Linked DNA regions of Saccharomyces cerevisiae S288C. The gene in region 1 interacts genetically with each later gene. Each region holds a gene or a part of one and is shown on either strand. Other genes may lie near its edges.

The links.
Region 2: mutations in DTD1 (region 1) and TMA23 together harm fitness more than expected from each alone (negative genetic interaction), as found in Saccharomyces cerevisiae (2 studies listed by BioGRID).
Region 3: mutations in DTD1 (region 1) and MHP1 together harm fitness more than expected from each alone (negative genetic interaction), as found in Saccharomyces cerevisiae (2 studies listed by BioGRID).

Annotation. Positions count from the first base shown.
Region 1 is NC_001136.10:60,797-67,894, forward strand, and holds DTD1 (D-tyrosyl-tRNA(Tyr) deacylase), read left to right. Parts: upstream 1-4,445; coding exon 4,446-4,510; intron 4,511-4,581; coding exon 4,582-4,969; downstream 4,970-7,098. Other genes in the region: FMP45 (Fmp45p), read right to left, coding at 76-1,005; telomere-binding protein CDC13, read right to left, coding at 1,448-4,222; YDL218W (uncharacterized protein), read left to right, coding at 5,697-6,650. UniProt on the Saccharomyces cerevisiae protein: An aminoacyl-tRNA editing enzyme that deacylates mischarged D-aminoacyl-tRNAs. Hydrolyzes D-tyrosyl-tRNA(Tyr) into D-tyrosine and free tRNA(Tyr). May also deacylate mischarged D-leucyl-tRNA(Leu).
Region 2 is NC_001145.3:800,608-807,768, reverse strand, and holds TMA23 (Tma23p), read right to left. Parts: upstream 3,314-7,161; coding exon 2,678-3,313; downstream 1-2,677. Other genes in the region: orotate phosphoribosyltransferase URA10, read left to right, coding at 221-904; RRN9 (Rrn9p), read left to right, coding at 1,346-2,443; U6 snRNP complex subunit PRP24, read left to right, coding at 3,547-4,881; inorganic diphosphatase PPA2, read right to left, coding at 5,065-5,997; RSN1 (Rsn1p), read right to left, coding at 6,390-7,161. UniProt on the Saccharomyces cerevisiae protein: Trans-acting factors of the ribosome biogenesis process.
Region 3 is NC_001142.9:357,305-368,122, reverse strand, and holds MHP1 (Mhp1p), read right to left. Parts: upstream 6,875-10,818; coding exon 2,678-6,874; downstream 1-2,677. Other genes in the region: FG-nucleoporin NSP1, read right to left, coding at 1-2,220, 2,339-2,339; YJL043W (uncharacterized protein), read right to left, coding at 7,220-7,993; GTPase-activating protein GYP6, read left to right, coding at 8,447-9,823; succinate dehydrogenase SDH9, read right to left, coding at 10,195-10,818. UniProt on the Saccharomyces cerevisiae protein: Essential for the formation and/or stabilization of microtubules. Binds to microtubules in vitro.

The sequences.
Region 1 (7,098 bases):
GATGCAGAGTTATGGTACTGCGAATGTAGGAAGAAAAAAAAAATTAGGAAGTATTTTATGGTGATTATTTCCTTCCTAGTCGCGTACCGTCACTGGCCCGGCAAGACCACCATCCCCAGCTGGTTCTAACTCAGCTGATGGCACCTGCTTTCTTGTTTTCAGTTTTTGAAAGAACTTGCCATTGCCAGCCGGAGTAGTGGTGGTTGTAGGTTGAGGCTGTCCAACCACAGGTGCGGCTGTGATAGGGCCCGCGCCGTCCGTCGCCCCACTATTGTAAGTGGATTTCTCCATTTGAGCACCGGTGTCAACAGAAGGGCTTTCATATTGGGCATACATGTCGTGGTCCGAGTAGGTAGAGTGGGCCTTGTGGGTAGCACTGAATATAGTGGACCAAATGGCGTTCACGAGCATCAAGAAGACCGAAGTCCAGATGAACGCAAAGTTTTTGGGTCCCAGCCTTGCAGACCTCCCGCTGTTGCGGAAGGTCTTTCTGGCCTTCACATAGCAACCTGTGTACAAGCATGCAGCCAATATAATGAAGAAAAAGGCCAACCAGGACAACACACAGTACAGGACTGGCACTGCCTTGAAAGGAAGGAAGGTAGCCAGAAAGCCGGGTACCAGCGCCAGTACGATGAAAAATAGGGAAATCAGCAGCATGGCCCATCCAACCCTGGATAGATAATAGTAGGTATCCCGGTTGTTTCTGAACGACGATGGTAAATTGACAGAGTTACCAAAATTGTCTCTGGGAGAGAAAGGCTTGGCGGGCGCCCTGCTAGAGCAATTAGCTAGCTGGCCGTCTTCGTAGCCGCACCAATTGTAATTGTACCATCTCGTGGTCGATGGAGCGCTGTTAAAGCCGTTTGTATCAGCCTGTAACCAATAAAAATTTTTCAGCGTTCCAGATTCTCTGCCTCCTGACAGAATAAGAAAAAACGTCAATAAGCCAGCACCGAGTAGGAATAAAAACACAAGCAAATTAACGAACCTTTTGAAAATCATAGCGGTAGATTATAGTGATTAGTGTTACTTGTTACTTGGATAAAAAGGAAAGTATAAGCGTTAAACGTAAATACCTCTTTCTTTTTAATTCACTTCAAAATTACTGTACTTAAAGTTTGCATCTAACGGATAACTAATCAAGAGAACAAAGCAAGATCAAGTAACTGTTGCAAAGCAACCATCCTTTTATATGTCGGCATCTGCGCCGAATGCTCCTCCCCATTCCAGACTATCCTTGTTTTAGCATCAAGAAGGAAGGAAGACCTTTCATTGACTCTTGCTTCTTACCACTCCCCTCTTTCCCTTTTCCTTCGTGTGAAAACGTTCCACTCCCTTATATTCAGAGCACCCTTAAATTTGGTTATTTGGTCTTTTTTTTTTATATTACTCCGAGACGTCACTGCAATTTGGCACCGCCGCGTTGGGCTGCGCGGATCATGTCTTACGAGGTGGGAACGGCTCCGGCGTCATCGTCATTATCCTCCTCCTTTTTCACGGTGACGCCATTTTGCGCGGCAAGAAGTCGCAGAGGATTGACGGTAGCATTAATTGCGCAATCAAGACTCCCTGAATCAGGAGCCGCTGCAACCTTCGGATGGGCCAGCTGTTGTTGCAATTCCCGAAAGGTGCATTCAATTGGGCACCAGATCTGGAGTGCCACGGTAGTGTCAGGGAACAGCGTGAGCGAGGAGGTTATATTGAATTTAAATGAATGGCCGAGAAATTGTGCCAATTGCGTATATTTTTCCTCAAGAGGCTGACGCTGTAAGTAGGCGCTTGAGCGGTTGAAAAAATAAGCAAAGTTCTTGGAGGTAATGATGTGTAGTTGCAACACTCGCTCCGGGGCCAAGCCGCGGGTTTGTAAAAGTGGGAGCTCATTCGTGATATGGAAGCAGAGATCAGATGCGTGGTACTCGATGGCGATGATACGGCCCTCGCAACTGTATAATGTGTTGCTCTTGTGTGTTTGCTGTGGGCGCGGGAGGCGAGCCGAGGAGTCCAAGAGAGAAGATATATCTGTGAACTTTACATCGAAGGAGGACACGTCTGCATTCAGGTCGGGTATGTGTTCTGCGAGAGCTGGTGTAGTGGGTGATTTTTTTGGTTCATGCTTTACTTCATCGAACCTCAGTTTCGCGAGATGAGAACCGTTTCTATGTATGGGGAAAAACCTCCGGTACTCTTCGAAATAGCGTGAAATTGCGGATTCGCCAATTCTCTTGAACGCTCGTTGGTAGAACAATCTTAAATGTTCGCACTGTGAAGGCGAGGCGATGCTGCTTATTTGGGAATGCGGGACCGGCTCACATTCGCGCACAATGGCATTCAATTTGCCGTTGTACATTTTCACTTTTATATTCATCTTACAAACTATGCCGTATTGCGAAAGGTTTTCATCGCGGCCGTTCTGTAGATCTCTTAGCCCGTTGTTGAATATTTTTCTGAGCTTAGAGTCAAACGTTTCGAATTGGTTTTTGTACATGATGGCTTTGAAGCCCTCGTTCAGCTCTAACTTGTTCTCGTAATCTATTAGATATCTGTCGTAAAGATAGTTTTGGACGATATCGTTCTTGGTAAAATCGCTAAAGACAAAAGATATAAAGGCAGGTTTATCAAACGAGCAGGAGACTAGCATGCCAAACATTGTTATGTATTTGGTCTCAAAAGTGTCGAGTCCCAACTGACAGAATTCGATGGTGGGGTCTTTCCTTGCCATTTTGCTCATCCTTGTGCGAGACGGATCGATTGACGCCGACGATTGCGCAGGCACCTGCACCTGCGCCTGCGCCTGCGTGTCGGTGCTAATGTTCTTCAAACTCCATACTGCCATACCTGGGCTGGCGGTCTTGTCATTGTCCCACAGGATCCTTTCAACTTCGACGGAAATTCGATCAGGCTTTTCCAGTAGTAAAATATCCGATATCTTGTCGCTTTGACAGTTTAAAACACCGAAGAGCTCACAGATTCGCTCTCTCGTCGGGATAACGATCTCAATGCAATTGACGCCTGGCACCAGGACCTTGTCTGGGACATTTGGTAAGAGCTGCGTAAAATATAATTTCAATGTGCAATATTTGAACTCATTTATACTGGCGAATTGAGGTGGATTCATGCCAACAATTTTGCCCTCTAACCTTTCAACTGAGCCTACACTAGCTAGGGAAAGTTGCTCATAACTGATGGCTTTGCGGATTGAGGACGCGTTCGGACTGTGGAAAGAAAGCTTTCTCTTCCTCTTGCTTCCGGAATCATCATCGTGCCAATTATTTGGTACGCTTGTTTTCCTTTCAGGTGTCTGTGACTGGATGTAGGATTTTGAGCTGAAATATTTCCCGGTAGAGGAGGTAGTTGAGGAATCTGAATCCTCAATGGGATCTGCGCTGTCATGCATTTCCTCTCCCATGTTGCTTATATCTGTGGTCGGTTCATCTACATTAAGCGTCATAAGCTGCGAGTTGAATTCGTTTTGGGATTCAATGTAAGGTATCCCTAGTCTATTTGGCACAAAGAAAGGATTAATTGCTGCGGCTTTTGATTTCTGCGATAATACCTTTTGTTGGTCTTGAACGAACTTTTTTAGTTCTATATCGTAGTGAATCAACTTTACAAATTTAAACCTGTTTTTCTCGTCTCTATTCATTTCTATTAAATTGTTGAAGATATCCACAAGTGAGTTGTTCAAATCACATTCTGAAATAAGTTCTGATGACGAATGCTTGCTGCTATTTGTCGATTTTGTAGATATGGTGCTTATCACACTTACCAAATCCAACGGTTTTATGTCCTCTAAGAATAGAGTATAGTTCCCGTGTTTTGATACATATAAAGCTTTACAACTTGAAAAACATAACCTTTCAAGGTGAATATCTCTCAGTATTACTGTTGGGGATGCGCCTGAGTCAGAATCTAAATCTGGCAGTTCAATATCAAAGTATTGGCAAAGTAAGGAAATAGTGATCCGGGCTAACCTCTCCGAGCCCCTATCTTTGAACTTCAGTTTGATTAAATATTGATCTTCTTGGGATTGATCTCCTCGCCTCTCAAAATTAGAAAAGCCTAGCAAACATTTTGTTTCAGTCAGGTGTATTGAGGTTAAAAGCGCCACGAATTGCACGGGAACTATTGCTTTGCTGGGATAGCCTTCAAAATCTTTACTCGAGCTCACAAAAATACGATTTTTATGTGGAGGACACTCAGGCTCTTCTAAGGTATCCATTTTTAGGCGATAGTTTCCACGGTCATTCGTATCCAAAGAGAAACATATATGAATATATTCTTAAATTTCCATTTTGAATTAGCATTTCGCATCTCACTAGGCCTTCGCGTCTCTTATGACGTTGAAAAATTTGGATATCAAAGGTTTAAAAAGTATAATCACGTTAATCAAGGCTGCATGTACATATTAAATAATCCACATATTATTCAGCAGCGGATTTACAATGAAGATTGTCTTACAAAAAGTCAGCCAAGCATCTGTAGTCGTCGATTCAAAAGTTATTTCAAGGTATGTTACCGGTTTTTTCAGCTTCGTTAGTGCACCAATTTTTTTTACTAACACCTCTATCTATGTGACAGTATTAAACATGGTTATATGCTCCTAGTAGGTATTTCCATTGATGATTCTATGGCGGAGATAGATAAATTATCGAAAAAGGTTCTTAGTTTGAGAATCTTCGAAGATGAATCCAGAAATCTATGGAAGAAGAATATTAAAGAGGCCAATGGTGAAATTCTATCCGTGTCTCAATTCACTTTGATGGCAAAAACCAAGAAGGGAACTAAACCCGATTTCCATTTGGCCCAAAAGGGTCATATAGCTAAAGAACTTTATGAAGAATTCTTAAAATTACTAAGAAGTGATTTGGGTGAGGAAAAAGTAAAGGATGGTGAATTCGGCGCAATGATGAGTTGCTCTTTAACTAATGAAGGGCCCGTTACAATCATTCTTGACAGTGACCAATAAGATTGACCTTATAGATATATACGAGAAGAAAATAAAAAGCAAACATTATTTGCAATCTTTCTTTCGCAAGATAAAGTACCAAAATCTTTCCATGTTATGTTCTCAGTGAAGTTGAGTAGAGCGGAGAGGAGCCCTCCCCAAAAAAATGAATACAAAATATCTGTGATGGATTTTTGAATTCACGCTTCCTTCAATAACCTTCGCCAAGAAAGTCTAGAATTGTTTTATATTCTTTACATAAAAGTAAGTAAATCAACTTTAAAAAACTTTAAGGGCGAAAATGAAAAAAAAAAAATGTAAAAGTGAAAAAAGGGACGGCGAAGCGATGCCCTGCCAGTCTTACTAATCCAGAGGGCTAAAAGCATGTTTACAGTGTATTTCCAGTCATAGGAGAGTATTGACCTGGCATGGAAAAAGAAACGCACAATGAGAAAGGGGATATATACCCTTAAATTGACGATAGTTAAGGAGATTTTGAGGTTTGTGTTACTAATAAACCAGTAAGCATACTCGTTGATGACTTTAACGTATATTTGGTTTCCAAGGGATATTGAAACCGTATCTTAAGGGATGACGATGGTTGGTTAACATTCCCTAAAAGACAACGTATAAAAAGGTTCAACAAAGCGTCCGTTACCATTATGCTTTGATGTTCTCAGTACGAAAGTTTACGGTTTTTTTTTTCAATTGAGGAACATAAACCAAATAGATATATTATATCAACGTTATGAAACGAGTTACTGGAGTTTTCTTAACACTTTTGAGATTTTCTCAATTTGCATCATCGGTTTTGGTGATGTCACTTTTGGCGTATGCCATCCACGCCTATGGAAATAGAGGTAATAAGAAAACCAACTTCACATTGGCAACAGGTGTCATTAGTGTGTTTTATCTGATTGCCTTAGGTATTTTGTGTCTGGCCCTACCCACATTGATCTACATAGGAATGTACTTCTGTGCCGAATTGATCGTTTGTATGCTATGGCTAGCAGCTTTCGTTGTTCTTGCCAAAGCTCAAGGTGAACGTAGCTGTAGCAACACTAATGCAGACGGATTATACTATAATCCGTACAGTGGCCAATATACTGCTGACAGTCATAGAAGAGCATGTAATTCTTCTCAGGCGGCAATCGCCTTTTCTGGCCTTTGCTTTGTACTGTTTTTGATCAGTGTGATATTACTGGGAATTAATGTCTTAACACCTATCAGGAAGCGTTATCAAACCCAAGGAATGTGGAGAAGCGGCGCTTCTATGGGTACAAAGCTCCATAGGTGGAGCGGACTAGCTTTAAGCGAGCCTTTTGAAGAAACAGCTGCTTACGATAACACCAATGTTAGGACCGGTGATGTCGAAGCAGGTGCAGGTGATAATGCTGCTTACACATCTGAACCGAATGGCGACGCACGCTATGCAACTAATGACCCCAATGGGCAGTACCATACTACCACCACCAACACACGTTACACCACAACAACAGCGGACCCTAAGACGCGTTACACCACCAACGATCGTAATCCTGGTTCTGCGAATGTCGCTAACAGTGCAGTGGACCAGCACGCTTACTCTACGGATGAGTCAGGTGATCGGTCTTATCAAGAAAAGGTCACAGAAGGAGCTCACTCTGGCGCTATGAGTGGTAGCACTGCAGAACCAAACAGGAACGTCAATCAAATGCCATAAATTCAATGATTTCCTTTTTGTTCGTCTATACCCTTCACATACTTTTTCTTTTTCTTTTTCTTTTCTTTGCTTAACGATTTGAATTGCTCCTGTTCTAATAATGGCGTCGTCTTTTAGAAAATCCTTATCAGGTGTGAATAATGCTTAATTTTTTTTATATATAATGATTTACTTTTATTACTTCTTATTTTTATATTTTCCTCTGTCAAATATGTGACTGAAATCTTCCAATTTATTAATATTAAAGTGTGACTATCACTTGAGTTTAGCGACAGTCTCTAACGCCTCGAATTCATCGACATGGGAAAATTGGAAAGGGTATCGTTTTTACACTTCCCATTTTCTTCCAGCAAAAATGATCGGCCCAGAGTCTAGTTAAAGCATGATTAATTCTCCCAGGGAATTTTTTTGCTTTACTAGTAACAGTAGTTCTGGAAATTATTAAGCG
Region 2 (7,161 bases), on another chromosome or scaffold:
TGACAGCATTTCCTTTCAGAATCACATAACATTTTTTGGTTTTAATTATCATATGCATTTCAAGGGAGTCATACATAACCTTTCGGGAAAGGCCCCTTCGCTTCCTAATCTAGGGTAAAAGGCCATCACAGGCTCTTTTATATAGATTAAGAACTAAGGAAGTGTCACGCAAAATAGTCGAGACCTAGAGCCATCAAGAATAATAAAACATAATCCAATAATGTCTGCATCTACTACAAGTTTAGAGGAATATCAAAAAACTTTCCTTGAACTGGGATTAGAATGCAAAGCACTAAGATTTGGGTCATTCAAGCTGAATTCAGGCAGGCAGTCGCCATATTTTTTCAATCTTAGTTTGTTCAATTCTGGAAAGCTGTTGGCAAACCTTGCCACCGCGTATGCAACTGCTATCATTCAATCGGAGCTTAAATTCGATGTTATTTTCGGACCTGCTTACAAAGGGATCCCTTTGGCTGCTATTGTATGCGTTAAACTAGCAGAAATCGGGGGCACTAAATTTCAAGGTATTCAATATGCTTTTAATAGAAAGAAAGTTAAAGACCACGGCGAAGGTGGTATTATTGTTGGAGCATCGCTTGAAGACAAGAGGGTGTTGATTATCGACGATGTCATGACTGCAGGAACTGCAATCAATGAAGCATTTGAGATAATCAGTATTGCTCAAGGTAGGGTAGTGGGTTGTATTGTTGCTTTAGATAGGCAAGAAGTGATTCATGAATCTGATCCGGAAAGAACAAGTGCTACCCAATCTGTTTCAAAGAGATACAACGTTCCTGTGCTAAGTATTGTATCACTGACTCAAGTGGTACAATTTATGGGAAATAGACTATCACCAGAGCAAAAATCAGCGATTGAAAACTACCGTAAGGCCTATGGTATATGAACTATAGAACTGACATGGACCATTTGATTATCATTGTTTGTATAGGAAAGAATAAATTTTTCTTGTATTCTTTTTTAATCAGTATACGTAAATAGCTTTTTATTGTTGGAGTTACGTGAGTTCTCGCATAGTAATTCATCAACTATTAGTGTCTTTTAAGGTTTCTTACTTTTCTTTTTGTCATGCTTCACTTGAGAGGATTTCTACTACTTTCCATAATTTTTCACTAAAATATTTTTCTTCTACAAAATAAACAAAAAGGCCTTTCGTGTTTGAAGATTACTCAGATGCAAGAATCACACTCAAGTTTAGCCATAAAGGGTGAAAATATTGATGTGTCGGCGGTTTTTTCTCTCTAGACATTTAACAGTTGCATTATAAAACTGTGCTGATTTCGGGACGACGAAATATATTTGAGAACAAACATTACGTGGGGTTTTGATGAGTGATCTTGACGAAGAAAGTCAAATTGAAACTCAGATCGATGCTCCTATCGAAGATATTATACGAGGATCTGAGCTTACCACTACAACCGCTGATAAAGAGACTTTGAAATCTGCAAATGAATTATTAGATTCTCTAGAACACTCGCACAGAGTCGACCTTTCGTTGCATTTATACTCTGCGTACCTCTTGAAAAGACTATTGTATAAGGCAAATGAAAAAAAACATTTTTATGAAGTAAACCAGTTTGTGAAGACCCAAATTAAGGATAACTGGACGAGCTGGCCTAATCCCAATACAATTATTGACCCTAGTGTAGACAAATTGTATGAAGATATACCGGAAGGTATTGCAAATGTAAGCGTACAGCCGGGGGAGATCTCAAATAGGGCTTTAATGCACGCCTCTGATATGATGAGGGTTGAGCTGGATGCTCAATGGCAAAAATTTCTCTCTAAGTCTGCCTTGGACCATGATGTAACTCTAGATGTGGATGAATTGAACATTCCAAACGAAATATCCCGGAATATCTTAGTTAAACTGGACAGCTTATTCGAAGGGTTGCATGATAAAATAGCCAAAGAGAACGAATTCGATGTAAGGCAAGATAAGCATTCTAATAATATAAGGGCGAATCAGATAGACGACGAGCCCATGCAGGCCAATCGACGAATTAAATACACATATCATGACTTGGTTTCAAGAGGTTGTGAAATGAACGAGGATATGACGGATATCTACATGAAATCATTAGAGCTATATAACGATATCCCAGAAAAGTATAAAAAGAGAAAATTCAGACTGCCCAAACAAATTCTAAAAAAGTATCACCAGCCAAAAAAGACCAGTTCATACTTAAAGGAGCTATTAAGTAAAACAAGAGAAGATTTCATACCTGTGGAAAAGTTATTGAAGGATAAACGGTTGACATCAAAGGACAAATCCAAGCTACAACGCTTAAATCGTGAAGAGACGGAAGATGCTCTAAACAAAAGAACATTTTTTCAGGTAAAGGGCTACTTAGAGGATGAGAATGAGATCTCTGATTACGAGTTGGACGACTGCCTCATAGAACTGCCTAATGGGAACATATGAATGAGAAAATCTTTTTTTTACCTTTTTCCATTAAGAAATATTCATCTCCTTTTAAGATCAACATATGTAACAATAAATATACTCTTTTAAAGATGTTCTTTTAATTTACTTACTGAAATTTAATATTAATAAAAGTTCGAAAACAAAGACTAAATACAAAAATAAAAAGATCATAAATTCAAACTTTTAAGAATGTCTTTTACGGATACATATTTACATATTAGACTATGATAATCATATATGCTCCTTTCTATCTCTTCTTGCTGAACTTTCTTCCTTTTTATGTTTTTTTGACTTTTTGGATTTTTTATGCTTCGATTTATCACCTTCATCGCTGCTATGCTTACTTTTCTTTCCTTTTTTACTCTCCTTCTTGCTTTTCTTCTTCTTCTTCTTCTTACTCTCACTGTCGTTACTAGTCTTTTTATCTTTTTTCAATTTTTTTCTCTTGACCTTGTTATCATCTTCATCACGCCTTCTTCTCTTCTTCCCTTTACTCGAACTTGCACTAGATACAACAAAGCTGGCTTCCTCCTTTTTACCAAGATTAGTAATGGTTCCTTTCAGCCCTTCTCCCTTTACAAACCACCTGTATAGAGGTGAGCTACTTTTCGATACAGCAGTAGCAACTGCCTCATTTTGAGTAAATTTAATACTGCCATTATTCGAATCAGTGCTTACATCCAGGTTCTTCAGATGTCCATCAAATAGCCTTTCCCACCATGCTTCGCCATCATTCCCGCCAGGAGCATTACCCAATCCCTTCTTATCTCTCTTGTGCTTTACCAGTATGGGTCTTTTCAAACCACCTTCTCTAAACGCTTCTCCTTCTTTCCAACCATATGATATCAGATATTCTTTGCTATCCATGTCCGATTTATTCTGATAATATTTCCGCTTGTATCATTCAATTTTCTATGTACATCATGACAATGAATTGTAGAGTGCATCAATGTCTTTTTTAAAGTCATCGCTAAAAAATTTTCAGGCGGGAACTTATTCAAAATGGCAGATTTACTACAACATTGAAAACCCTTTATATTTATTATATGAGAATCATTAGCGATAAACAAGCCCACATATTCACTTCATAATCTGTGATAATGGAGTATGGACATCACGCTAGACCAGATTCAAAACGACCATTGGATGAAGGATCACCAGCAGCCGCAGGATTAACTTCTAAGAAGGCGAACGAAGCTTTAACAAGAAATAGAGAATTAACAACTGTATTAGTCAAAAATTTGCCTAAGAGCTATAATCAAAACAAAGTCTATAAGTACTTCAAACATTGTGGGCCCATTATACACGTTGATGTTGCGGATTCGCTGAAGAAGAACTTTCGTTTTGCACGTATTGAATTTGCCAGGTATGATGGAGCCCTCGCTGCAATAACCAAAACACACAAAGTTGTAGGTCAGAATGAAATTATAGTATCTCATTTAACAGAATGCACATTATGGATGACGAATTTCCCCCCAAGTTATACTCAAAGAAATATTAGAGATCTATTGCAAGATATTAACGTTGTTGCACTCAGTATACGGCTTCCCAGTTTACGATTCAATACAAGCAGAAGGTTCGCTTACATCGATGTTACTTCTAAAGAGGATGCAAGATATTGTGTAGAAAAATTGAATGGACTCAAAATAGAAGGTTATACTTTAGTTACTAAAGTTTCCAATCCGCTGGAAAAGTCGAAACGGACCGATTCTGCCACACTAGAGGGGCGAGAGATTATGATACGAAACCTAAGTACAGAATTGCTCGACGAAAACCTTCTGAGGGAATCTTTTGAGGGATTTGGTTCCATTGAAAAAATCAACATACCTGCTGGACAGAAAGAGCACAGTTTCAATAACTGTTGTGCATTTATGGTTTTTGAAAATAAAGATTCTGCTGAAAGGGCACTTCAAATGAATAGAAGTTTGTTAGGTAATAGGGAAATTTCCGTTTCCTTGGCTGATAAAAAACCATTCTTAGAAAGAAACGAAGTCAAAAGACTTCTCGCATCGCGTAACAGCAAAGAACTAGAAACACTAATATGCTTATTTCCACTTTCAGATAAGGTGTCACCAAGCTTAATCTGCCAATTTCTTCAGGAAGAAATACACATCAATGAAAAAGATATTAGGAAAATACTTCTCGTTAGCGACTTCAATGGCGCCATTATTATATTTAGAGATAGTAAGTTTGCAGCAAAAATGCTAATGATACTAAATGGATCTCAATTTCAGGGAAAGGTGATACGTTCAGGTACTATTAATGACATGAAAAGATATTATAACAATCAACAGAATCACAGCATGAAACACGTCAAACCTAGTTGTATAAACATGATGGAAAAAGGACCAAATCTTCAAGTAAAGAAAAAAATTCCTGACAAACAAGAGCAGATGTCCAACGACGATTTTCGCAAGATGTTTCTAGGTGAGTAGACTAACCGAACCGGAGAAAGACGAACTTCTAATAGGATGTCATTTTAGCAGTGAATATAAACCCAAGTTTCTTTCCAAACGTTCACATACATCAAGCAGCCAACATTCGAGAGAGCAGAGATTACGTAATTATATACAAGGAACCTTTATCTAAACATTTTCTTCGAAGGTATTATTTTCATATTAAACGTAATACCATTTTTGCACCTCAGGCGGTATTTGAGAAGGGGGTTTAACACTATCTTCAAGTGTGACACCATTACCAGCCCTTTCTGTATTAGGCAGGTTGTCATACTTCTCCTGGAGTGATCCTGAAATGAGGTTTTTCCACGAATTGTGACATTTCTTTATAGTTTGGATGGTTTTATTGGAATTTTGATACTGTTCATGAAAGGCGAAACTATTTAATGGCTTCCCTGCTGGAACTTTATACTTTCTAAACCACTCCCTAGTCGTATCTAGAATCCCAGGAAAGTACTCCTCAATTTTTTCCAAGTCATCTATTTTAGAGGATAAAGGATCATTTACGTCGATCACTATGACCTTCCAATCCAATTCTCCATCATCAATTAAAGCGAGTGATCCTAATACCTTGACCTTTTTAATGGAACCCATTTCCAAAACATCCGAACCGATTTCGCAACAATCAAGAGGATCATTGTCACCTTTCAAAGCCACGTCACACTTCCCCAGTTTATGTTCAATTGTGGGATCTTCCCATGTTTGGGGAATAGCACCATAGTTGTGTATATAGCCGTGATAGGGAAAGATATTGTTCACGAACCTAAGCTTGCCATTCTTCGTATCTTGAACGATCGGATTGAACCTAAGTTCTTTGGATATTTCAAATTTTCCAGTTGTCCATCTTGGTACTTCAACAATCATATTTACGGTCTTTTCATGTTCATTCAAATCTAAAGGGACATCATGGAAAAAAGAACCAACCTCTCCATTTAATAATGTCAAGTATTTCTTAAACCCGAGGGTATATTTGCTGCCTTGTTGAATGGTGCTGAATTGTCTATGATTACGAATGGATAAAATATTCAATGTTTGTTTTAACCGTTCTATTGACCTAGCCTTGCTTGTTAAAGCATTCATTCGTAATAAATTCATGTTTTTCAGTAACTTCTCTAGAAGGGAATTTGCTTTTCACGCATACAAGCGAATCAAAGTTTCCAATTGAATGTACTCCCTATTAGTGCTGGTTAAATTAGCTGACTGCTCCGTATTACTGTGCGGAGTTCCTTTTATCCAATATTCAAACCTCATAGATTGCCAAAAACAAAAAAACTTTGCATAAAAAAAAACAAAAAGGGTTACTATACACGATGAATGATTAGACTATACACTATTATATAAGAAATGATTAGAATCATATTTTAAATGTATTAAAAGAATATATGCACGTCCTTTTCCTCTCCTTTTCTTAGTAAAATTACAATTCAACCATCAGAGGATAACAGCTAAACAAATAGGAATAGATAATTTCTGATAATGTTTAACCTTTAGACTGCCGAACGACTCTCTTCTTCCTTATACTTTGGGTCCGCAAATGGATTATTTTCCTTACTAGCTGTGTCAAATTCGCCATTTGCTTCACCATTTGCTTCGTCTTTAACATCATTATATGGTGGTGGTACGTCACGCAGAGTAAATTTCAAATTCTCATCGATGGTAGCATTTTCATCGTTCATTTCAACAACGCCAGAAACGTCTGAAATCAACAATTTGGAAAATCCAAAAGGATCGCGAGGAATCCACAATTCGGGGCATTGTGCACTAACAGCTGGATAATCGTAAGCATGAGAGATATCGAAATCATTGACTCTTTCATCAGGATCAACCAAACCATATATTTCTGGCAGTCTGCTCTTTACAGCCTTATAGGAGTAGTAAATGTGAGGTTTTAAGAATCTCTTCCACCATGGAGCCGGAGGAATTTTCATTGTATCACCATCTGCTAATAATGGCACGTCCTCAATTAAATTTTCTGCATTTATAGCGTGCCCATCTGCATTGGCTTCATTTGCTGGGTTGAATTGATATTCGAATGTATTTTCACTAAATATGCTATTTTCAACTTGTTGCTCAGTGACTGATTCACTCCTCTTGTGATATTTCTTTATTGGAAATTCAGGTAATTCTTTGATTCCGTCCATGTCAATATTTGCACCAAAAGTATTTTTCTTCACCTTTGTACTTTCTATGCCTTTATAAATATTTTTGAAAGAAGGTGTATCTGATACACCATCTAACGGTTTCATGGTATCAACGGGT
Region 3 (10,818 bases), on another chromosome or scaffold:
TTTTTTGGTCATTATTGTTGGCCGCAGCACCTGAACTTGTAGACACAACATCGGACAGAAGTGCCTCTGTCTTGGTTTCAAAATTGTCTAAGAAGTTTTCTAATTCATCCTGTTGCCTCTCGATATATTGTAGAGATTGATCTATTTTGTTTTGACTATGTTCCGCCATCACAGCATCTGAGTATAACTGACTAATTTGTTCACCTCCTTTCACTAGTACCTGATCCCAACTATTAATTTTTTTGGTATACTGTTCAAAATGAGAGGCCGATTCTGTTAGTTGGTTAGTCCATTTCGTTACTAAATCGTCCAGTGTTTTATTGTCGAGAGAAACTGGCTTCAATTCTACTGGTTTAGAATTTAATTTCAAGCTATCACTTGATTTGACATCTGCGGTTGACTTCCCCGTAGAAGATTCCTCTGTTTTCTTCTCATTATCTTTTTGAGCACCAAAAGTAAACGCTGGCTTGCTCGTATCACTGGATTTCTGTTCTTCGGGTTTAGCACCAAAGGAAATGGCAGCCTTCGCCCCATCGCCTTCCTCCTTTCCTGTAGGCTTAGAACCAAATGAAAAGGCTGATTTTGATTCATCACTTTCTTTCTTTTCGTTAGCCTTTGCTCCGAATGAGAAGGCAGGCTTGGAGACTTCATCATTCTTCTTTTCATCGGGTTTAGCACCGAATGAGAAGGCAGGCTTCGAAGAACCACTGTCCTTTTTTTCATTCGATTTAGTACCAAATGAGAAGGCAGGCTTCGAAGAATCACTGTCCTTTTTTTCATCCGATTTAGCACCAAATGAGAAGGCAGGTTTAGAGGCATCGCCATCCTTTTTCTCATCGGACTTTGCTCCAAAAGAGAATGCCGGCTTGGAAGTTTCATTGTTATTCTTTTCCGCGGGCTTGGCACCAAAGGAAAATGCTGGCTTAGCCGTTCCATCTTGCTTGTCTTCATTTGATTTGGCACCAAATGAGAAAGCTGGTTTTGAGGAATTATCATCCTTCTTTTCTTCTGGCTTAGCGCCGAATGAGAAGGCAGGCTTAGAAGTAGCACTAGCTTTATTTTCATCCGGTTTAGCGCCAAAAGAGAAGGCAGGTTTAGAGGCATCACCATCCTTTTTCTCATCAGACTTTGCTCCAAAAGAGAATGCCGGCTTGGAGGTTTCATTGTTATTCTTCTCCGCGGGCTTGGCACCAAAGGAAAATGCTGGCTTAGCCGTTCCATCTTGCTTGTCTTCATTTGATTTGGCACCAAATGAGAAAGCTGGTTTTGAGGAATTATCATCCTTCTTTTCTTCTGGCTTAGCACCGAATGAGAAGGCAGGCTTAGAAGTAGCACCAGCTTTATTTTCATCCGATTTAGCACCAAACGAAAAACTTGGGGTTGTGTTAGTTGTCTTATTGTCGGATGTTGCAGTACCAAAAGAGAGGGCTGGTTTTGCTGGTTCATTAGTTGTAGGTTCGGGTTGCGAAGCTCCAGCTGGGTTAGCACCAGCTGATCCTGAACCAAATGAAAGGGAAGGCTTTGCAGCCTCGTTAACCGTTTTGTTTCCACCTAGTTGTGAACCAAAGGAAAATCCTGTAGTGGGAGCTTGAGCGTCTGTCTTATTACCGACACTTGAATTAAAGGAGAAAGCAGGCTTGTCTGGTTCTGTTTTTTTATCGTCGTTAGTGGTTGCACCAAAGGAAAAGGCTGGCTTATTCGCATTTGCGGTAGCGCCAAATAAGTTATTACTTGTGTTAGCATTACCGGTCGAGCTAGGAGTTGTGTTATTGCCGCCGCCAAAATTCAAACCGCCGAACGCAGGTTTTGTCGTATTGCTATTAGTACTGTTATTGAATAAGGATGAAGAACCAAATGTATTTCCTCCAGCAGTTCCATTGCTCTTCGTTTGTTGAGCACTGGAAGATCCAAAAAGGGATGTCCCTGCACTATTACTACCAAATGTATTAGTCGTAGAATTGTTGCTGCCAAAAACGTTACTTGTGGGGTTACTGTTACCGAATGCAGTATTACCAGTGTTATTGCTACCAAATGCAGGTGTGATTGAAGAGTTTGCATTGTTCGTGTTATTTGGCGCAGAATTGTTGAAACCAAATGTTGATTGACCTGTTCCGAAGGCGCCCGCACCAGTAGAGGAATTCTGATTGGTGGTGTTAGAGTTATTGTTGGCAGTCCCGAACGAAAAGGGCGTTTTGTTTTGTTGAGGTGTATTGAAGTTCACTAATATTAAAAATCATGTAGTTTACAGGTTCGCAGGTTTTCGTTAGTAAATAGGAAGAAATTGTATAGGAGATAAAATTTTGATCGGAAGACAACCGTCCAATGGAAAGAAACATACTTTTTCAAAACGATCAGAGCTTATTACTGTTGGACTGTGCGTTGCAATGGCTCTCCAATAGCGTCTTCAGGTATCACAATCGACACGTCAAATATCACATCTGAGTGGTGCTAACACCATTTATTATTTTCTATAAAAGTTTGAAGAAAAAAACTCATCGGACCCGTCCGGGTTGTCTCAAGTTCTACAAAAGCATTATGCTTACATTAATAATAATAAAAAATACAAAATACTTAAAATAATCATACATGAAAGGATACGTAAATGTCTGAGGGCTCCTTATTATATTTTCGAAACCCAATACAAAAAAGAGATTAAAAAATTAAGAGAAATCCCTTATTATTTAGTACTACTGTTCCGCGCATCCTGGATTTTGTCTAGCACATCATCATAAGCAGCGTCAATGGCATTTTCCTCTGCATTGTTCATAAATTTATCAAATCCAGGCGCATCGGTCGGAGGAATATGAGCATTATCGTTCGTTCTAGAAGTATTGGAGCCTGTGGATATCGGATCAGTGGTAGGGGACGCATTAGCACTTGAATCATTGGATTGGGAGGACTGTTGTTCATCCTTTGTTCTGAACGCGGTCTCTTCTTGGTTTCCCTGTTTTTTGAAAATATGATGCAAGTGGTACCCTTGGCTATGCAGTTCATCAATGACGCCAAGGATAGTAGAGACGTCATTCTTCAACAGAAATTCCTTTATCTGGTCACTATCTAAGGATTGTGCGGCACGATTTAAGATTTCTTTGTCCACTGGCAAATCGCCACCACCGACAAGCTTTTCGTGTTCTAGTTCTCTTTTAATGATAGAGTATTTGTTTTTGATATCAACTTCATCTCGAAATTGTTGATCATTTGCTGGTACGTCTTCGTGATTTACGTTGGAGTCGTCACCTTCTCTGAATTCGACGGCATCTTCTGCATCTGGGCTTGACTTTTCGACTATTGCACTACCGAATGGCATAAGCGCAATATGATCTGAATTTTGTAATATAGATGAGCTTAGTAACATTCTTTGACAGCTTTCGGAATTGGGTTGTGCTTGATTTCCCCCTTTCCGACTTTTTGAGACGGCCTCTGGTGATTTCAAAGTGTTGTTATGTCTTTGTTTCAGCAGGTCACAGCCTCTTTCCAAACTTGCCTCTATGAAGCATAATCTAATCAAAGCTTCCTTACCTTCCAAATTTAATTGTCCATTCAGTTTTAAATCAAAAAGATCATGAACCACTTTACTAATCTTGATACGTGCCAACGCGATTTTGGCCATGAAATTCTCAACCATTTTGTTGTAATGTTCGGAATTATCCGCTTTTTCAGTTAATAAAAGTGATAGTTGGTCCTGTAGGCTTGAAAATTGGCTATCTTTGATATCTTTATCGTCACTATTAACCCTTTTCAACTCCCCTTGAATATTTCTTAAAGCATATAATGAAATTTTTTCCTTAATGTTCTCTGGCATATACACATAGTCCACGTCCAAAGTCATCAAAGATGAACTTTTCCTCACCGCCTCTGCTAGAGCTTTAGACGATGCCAAATCCAATTCCGTTCCTAACATGGAAAAATAATTCAATCTTGAACACATGGGTAATATTTCGGCCAGCATCACTACACTCGTGGAACTTAAATTATTGTAGTCGATATGCAGACGGACAAGATTAACAAAAACAGGTAAAAAATCAATCAGCGTCGGAACACAGTGGGGGAAGATGGCAGGATTGTTCGATATATCCAAGAATTTTAAATTTTCCAAATAACATAAAACGCTTATCAGTTTTAAGACCTCGTTATTCTCAAAAGTGTCGTGTTCGTTCACTCTCAAATTTGTCCCATTTAGAGATAAAAATTTGAAGACGTTTTTCTCGTTAGCTTTTTGTATTTTGCCTAAAACAGCATCGGTGAAAGAGGAAAGTTTGCCATTCAAATCGTTAAAACCAACGTCTAGACCTGTCACTTTTGATTGAACCATCCACTTGGCCAAATCATCACATTGGCTCTTAGATAATCCATTATACGCGAGGCCCAATCTCTCGGTTGCTATACAAGCAACGAGGATGAAGTTTTTGAATTGTGCAGAATTCATCTTGGCCCCGGAAATGACAATTTCCTCCAAACCGCCCATGAGGGCAATAGAAGCTGTCAAAAGGTCCCAGTTCATGTCGGATCTATTTTCCAAGTTGCATTGCATTCTCAGAATTTTTGACTTCAAAGAAGATTTAGAAGGCTTTTGTACATTTGTCTTGATGGAAGGGACCATTGTCAAATCAATAGAGTGCAGAGACTTGGCCTTGGAGACAAAATAACACAGAACTTTCCATCCTTCTTCATCCAAGGGGGTGTTTCTTAGAGAAAGTTTTTGGAAATGCTGTTTGTAAACCAGCGAACTCAAAATTATTCTAAGCATTTGCACGGTTAATTGTACACCGTCCAACGAAAGACATAAAACGGGAGCAATGCTCAAGAAATCGCTGAACGACCAAATTTCCACCATAGAAGGTCTTGGGTTACGTAACTGTAAGATGGGGATAGGGTCCGTCGAGCCCTTTTTCAATTGCTTCAATGTGGCTGGTATGGGCAGAATTTCTCGCAAGTGACAACAACGGGTATACACAATGTCGTGAGGTATCTTCAAAGAAGGTGGGGGAAGAATTTCTCCTTCATCATCTGCGTTCGTACCGTTGGTATCACTGGACACCATGGAGGCCAAAGAGGATGTGGAAGCACCCCTTCTTGAAATCATTGGCTTATCGATGGTCAAATGGCTGGCGGTCTTACTGACAGTGACTTCTTCTTCATTGTTGGTCACGATACGTTTCAATTCGTTAGGTGCCTCTTTGGCTCTGGCCTCTGCAGCAGCTTCTGCAGCGGCCATAACGATGTTTCTCCTTTGAGAATTGTTATCCTCCTCGTCGTGTGCCTCCACTTCGTTCTGCTTTTGAGGGGCCATCTCCTCTTTACTCTTGGCATTTGCGTCGTCTTCCTCGGGATTTAATAGTTTTAATTGCCCGGTCCCCCCAACGACAACACCCAAACTAGTCGATTCCATGATTTTTTTGCGTTCTTGCGGAGTCAACCTATGAATGACAACAGATCCATTAGGCTTCACTTCCACTTCACCTTTACGAGGGTTTTTACTGCATATTTGTTGTGGAGGATCGTTGAAATAGGTGTTCGTAGCAAAGGAGACGTGTTTCAAGGGCCGTATATTCTCGAGGCCGGGGACGGTGGTTATCTTTGAAGGGTCGAACTCCATTGAACTAGAAGACCATAGGGACGTCGATGAGGTGTCTGGATTATTGACGTTTGCAGAAAGGGAGGAGGCATTGGTGCTGTTGTTGTTGTTGTTCCCATAAGAGGTAACTTTCCTTAAAAAGGCGCCGAATTTATGAGAAGAAGGTGTCTGATTATTATTCTGCGCTGACGAGGAAACGTCCGAATTGGAATCCACTGTGTCTACTATCGATGCGTTGCTTGGATGCTTCTTCCTGAAGGCGGAAGGCAATTTGGGTGCGTCGGGATGCGGCGGAATGGGTCTTCCCTTAGCGTCAAATTTCTGGTGAGCAAGTGATTTGGCAGGTTGTGGTTTGTCGTTATGTAATGAGAACGAAGCGCGTCTATTTTTCTTGGTTGTGGGAGACGCAGATGACTTAATAAAGTTCCCTTCTTTGAAGGCGGCTAATTTGTAATCCTTAGATTTGTAGTAGCGCAAGAAATCCATTAATCTAGGATCAGGTCGAGAGCCGCCATAGTTATGATCGTCTGCGGGGGAAGTTCCGTCGACTTTACCCTCTTCTGGTGAGTGGTATGTGCGCATACGGCCATGGTAGTAGCTTTGCGGATGATTTTCGTAATACACTTCTGATTCCGTCTTGGATCTTGTTAACGGTACCACAGTATCGTTATAAGAGGGTGGAGCATTGTACTGCAAAGGCGGTGGTGATTCCGCAGATATGGTAGCCGTTCTTTCTCTTCTTATGGCCGCGCCACGGTCCACGTGAGTCGGAGAGGGTGAGCGCTCTTTCCTTTCTCGTTCCTTCTCCTGTTGTTCCTGATCCTTCTTCCTATGGCCAAACAGACTCTTAAAGAATCCGACCTTCTTAGGTGCAGGAGCATCTTCCGTGTGATGGTGGTGGCGGTGGTGGTGATGATGTCCGGAGTCAGCCTCAACGTTAGACAGGTTAGTCTCCACCACTGACTTCGACCTACCCCTAGGGGGAGGAATGTTTGTGGGAACGGATGTAGACCCAGCGTTAGCACGCTGATTATCCATTAGCAAGCTCGCAGCTACGGAGTGACGGCGTCCCTTATCGTTTGAAGAAAGAATGCTGCTGGAAGAGTCTACAGACGTTTCGAAAACGGGCGGGCGAGCAGTGTCCATCTGGATGTCAGGAGCCACACTGTTGGCCTTGGACTCGGATTTCCCTGGTCTGGAGCTCTTGCTGGTGGAGGCACTGGGCCTGACCAACCATCCAACGTCGATGCAGGGGATTCGGTGCTCCTTAAGCAACTTTTGCGTGTCCTTGGAGTCCATGGAGCAGTTGTAGGGCTATCTTGTATATTTTGCGTATTTAAGTGCGATTATGCGAGTGCCTGAGTGGTGTATATGTATGTACATATGAACGCTTTAAGGCAGAAGCTTGTTATATAAAGGAGAATGAGAACGCAGCATTTGCTTGTACAGCCAGATGCTTCGAGTGAAACACCGTTGCGTAAATTGAACCTGAACGTTCTAGATGCGAAAACAATACAATAAGCCAATAACGTAAACAGTCGCGCAGCACGAGGAAGGGGGGAGAGCAAGCTGTCCAGGACGGGTGAACATCGAACGGGGCCGACGGCCTAAAAGAGAAGCTGATGAAAAAAAAAAAGGCCCGGGCTACCATTGGAACAACGGGTCCGTAGTAGGTAGCGCACCCAACAGTGCCTCCAACTGCACCACACACTTGCGCTGTCGCCCTTTTGATGCTTCGTCTTCGTCCTCTATCTGCATGTTGTAATCAGACCCGTAGCGCGACCAAATGTCGTAGTCGTCAACATGCGGTGTGGCGTACACCAACTCCGGTGACGACGTCCAAAGTAGCTGCAGCGGCATTTCGCTCGCGTGCCTGATCTCACAATCATGCAGCACAGACCTTAGGTCCCTGGTGCTCATTGCAGTTTCGCCAATAAACAGCATGGGGATGATGATAGTCCGTGACTGTTGCCAGGGAAATCTCCACTTGGGTCGGTTGGTACAGCCTGTGTGTTTTACCGTTGATGGGCCCATGTAGTGGGACCAGTCATCCAAGAGCCTAGCATAGCTTTGACGTAGCGGCGCCGTCGCGGCGCCGCTTTCAAAGCTAGCCGGGTTGGCGATCTCGATGGGTATTATGGTGTTGCATTTCTGCAGGAGGTCGATACAGTCGGTGATCTGGTGTAGGGTCATCGCCATAGCAAACAATTTCTGCGTCAGTCCGGCAGTACGGCCACTAGCAAAGTCTTCGTCAGTAAGTGCCACAATGTCGTGGCACTTTGGTACTAGACTTTTCAGAATCTCCAATTGTTCGCTGATGGCTTCACAGCGCTGAAAACAGCAGTAAGTGTTGACCAACTTACCAAAAGATGCATTTATATCCGTGTAACGCTCCAGTCCGGAATAATCAACAAACATGGCTTGCGGTTTTCCTGAACACTCACCTTTTAGTATTCTTTTTTTCTTTTTTTTCTATTTTTTTTTCGACATAATTATTATTTTTTCTTGAATTATTTACTGACGCAAAGTTCTGACCACAGAAAAATTCCACGTCTTATTTTGCCCATGCCAGCCGTAGAATACGCACACGTGTACGCATGCTCCAAGTGTTATTGTAACTGGATGGTGCGCTGGTTTAGGCCTGTAAGCGGTCGTAAAGGAAAACCGGATATTATGTTACCCGCTTCTCCTACGGCATTACTAGTTCCTTTTTTTTTTTTTTTCAATTTTTCCATTGAGTTTTCCATAATCGGTACAGCAGCGTTTAATTTCATTACCTTTTTCAGAACAATGGGGGAGAGTTGTCAAGAGAATTGGCATACATAGAGAGGGTTAGCTGTCGTGCGTTTGTATTTTTTCGCTTATGCAACCATGAAGGATGTCTTACAATGGGCGATTGACCACTACGAGACAAGAGACCAACTGGTGCAGAAGGGAATTTGGAAAGGTGAACTCTACCATGACTCTATCTTTAAAGAAAATAGTAGAGGCTGGCTCTGGAAAGCTTTGCTTCTGTGTGATGAAAACAACAACTGCTTGTTAACTGATAACTTTAAAGGTTTGGACCTTAACCAGTTCGGCTTGGTGCCAGTGCCTATGCTGGCAGATGGCGACAACTATGACGAAAATCATAATGCAAATGTACCTAAAAGGGTCTTGCACTCGAACGTTTCCTCCTCAGTGGGAATCAGGAGGCTGACTCCCGTCGAGGCTGTTGAAAAACATCCCTTGTCTGATGACAATGACAAAACTAAAGGTTCTTTGTCCAAGGGAAGTGATGAAAAGCCGTTGACACTGAGGGAAACTCTGGAAATTATAGATTTGGACCTCTCAAGGATAATGCTTGACGATATATTTCAGGAACCCAAGGTTCATGCTCAAATGAGACAACTTTTGTACAATTACCTGCTTATACATCAAAGCGAACACCTACAGTATAAACAAGGGTTCCACGAAATATTAAGCGTCATTTATCTGCAATTATATCACGGTACAGATCTCGATAATACCGATTTGCAAAACGTTCTGATTATCTTTAACAAGCTAATGAACCAAATCGAACCGATTTTTTATAACGAAGAAAATTTGATTAACTGGGATAAGAGAGTATTCACGAAAATCTTTAGGATTTGTTTGCCAGACTTGTTTTCAAAGGTTTTTTACCAACCACCAAAAACGGGCAGCGGGAAGAAAAAAAACGTAGACCATCTGATTCACTCCAACCTAATCTGGCTCATCCGATGGACAAGGTTGTTATTTTTAAGAGAATTACCCTTAAAATATGTGCTAATCGTTTGGGACCACGTCCTGACGTTCAATTATCCCTTGGATATTTTCATTGCATGCACTATCATCACCCTTTTGTTATCCATTTACGATGAGCTTCACGAACTAGTGAGCCAAGGTGACTATGAACATACGAATAATAACGATGAATTTGTTGAATTGATTTTGCATTTCAAGAAAATTTTTGAAAAGGAAGATGCCAGTAAAGATGATGAAAAGTTTTTAGACCTGTGTAAGGTCACTGGAAATTTATGTGAATTGTGGTATGGAAAAAATTACGACGATATGAGATTGATTTGCGACACTTTTATAAATGCGAAGTTCGGCATAAAGACTAGTGATGTTTTAAGTATGGAAACAGCAAAGTTGACTATTGATCCTAATAGACAATCACTCGAAAACAAACTGAGGGAGAGGGTAAGGCAAACAATTTTGAAGAACAAAAAGAAAATAAGCCAATAAGTTTTTCTTGTCAATTACTCGTTGTTATTTGTTTGAAATCCCAGCCTGCACACCCGCACGACAAAATCAAAAAAAAAAAAAAAAAAACCCAGCTACCACCAACAAACAGATAGCCCACATGTCATATTTCCTAATGAGCTGGTTTCCCTCTGATATTTTTGCATATTGCAGCTCGACGTATATTGTACTTCAATGTCTTGCATAAAATTATATAGCATAATAGATAAGGTGTAAGTTGACAGTAAACGAGTACTATTGACCAAGAATCAATGAGAGAGATAGAGAGAAAAATAAGAAAAAAGGGAAAGATCATTTTTGCCAGATCAATAAATAAGTTTGCCCTCCAAAATAAATAAATAAATAAATAAGAATTAATAGGATCTGACAGCTGGAGGGACTGGGGCGCATTCATTCTCATCTAAAGTATGTGCGATTACATTCCTGTACTTGATTTTTACAGGTGTTGATGTCCCCTTTTGCCATGATAATGTGTGCTTTCTCCAATTCACATCATCTCTTTTTGCATAGTCCTCTCTCGCATGAGCACCACGAGACTCCTTTCTTTTGGAAGCAGAAACAGCCGTTTGTGTGGCACAAGTAAGTAAATTTTGCAATTCCAGAGTTTCTACGAGATCAGAATTCCAGATCATTGACTTATCAGAAACGTGCACATCCTCAAATGTCTTGTCCACTTCAGTAATATTTCTAACACCTTCATCTAGAGTGTCTTGCGTCCTGAAAACAGAAACATCTTTTTGCATTGTCCTTTGCATGTTCAACCTGATTTGAGAGGTTTTCAGTGAGCCGCGAGCATTTCTTACTTTATCCAAATTAGCAATTGACTCGTGCCCGATGTTTGAAGCCAATGGCTTATGAGGCAAGCCAGGCTGTAATGTGTCAGCAATGGTATTTGCAACGGCGCGACCGAAAACGACTAAATCCAGTAGTGAGTTAGCGCCTAATCTGTTCGCTCCATGAACCGATACGCAAGCAGC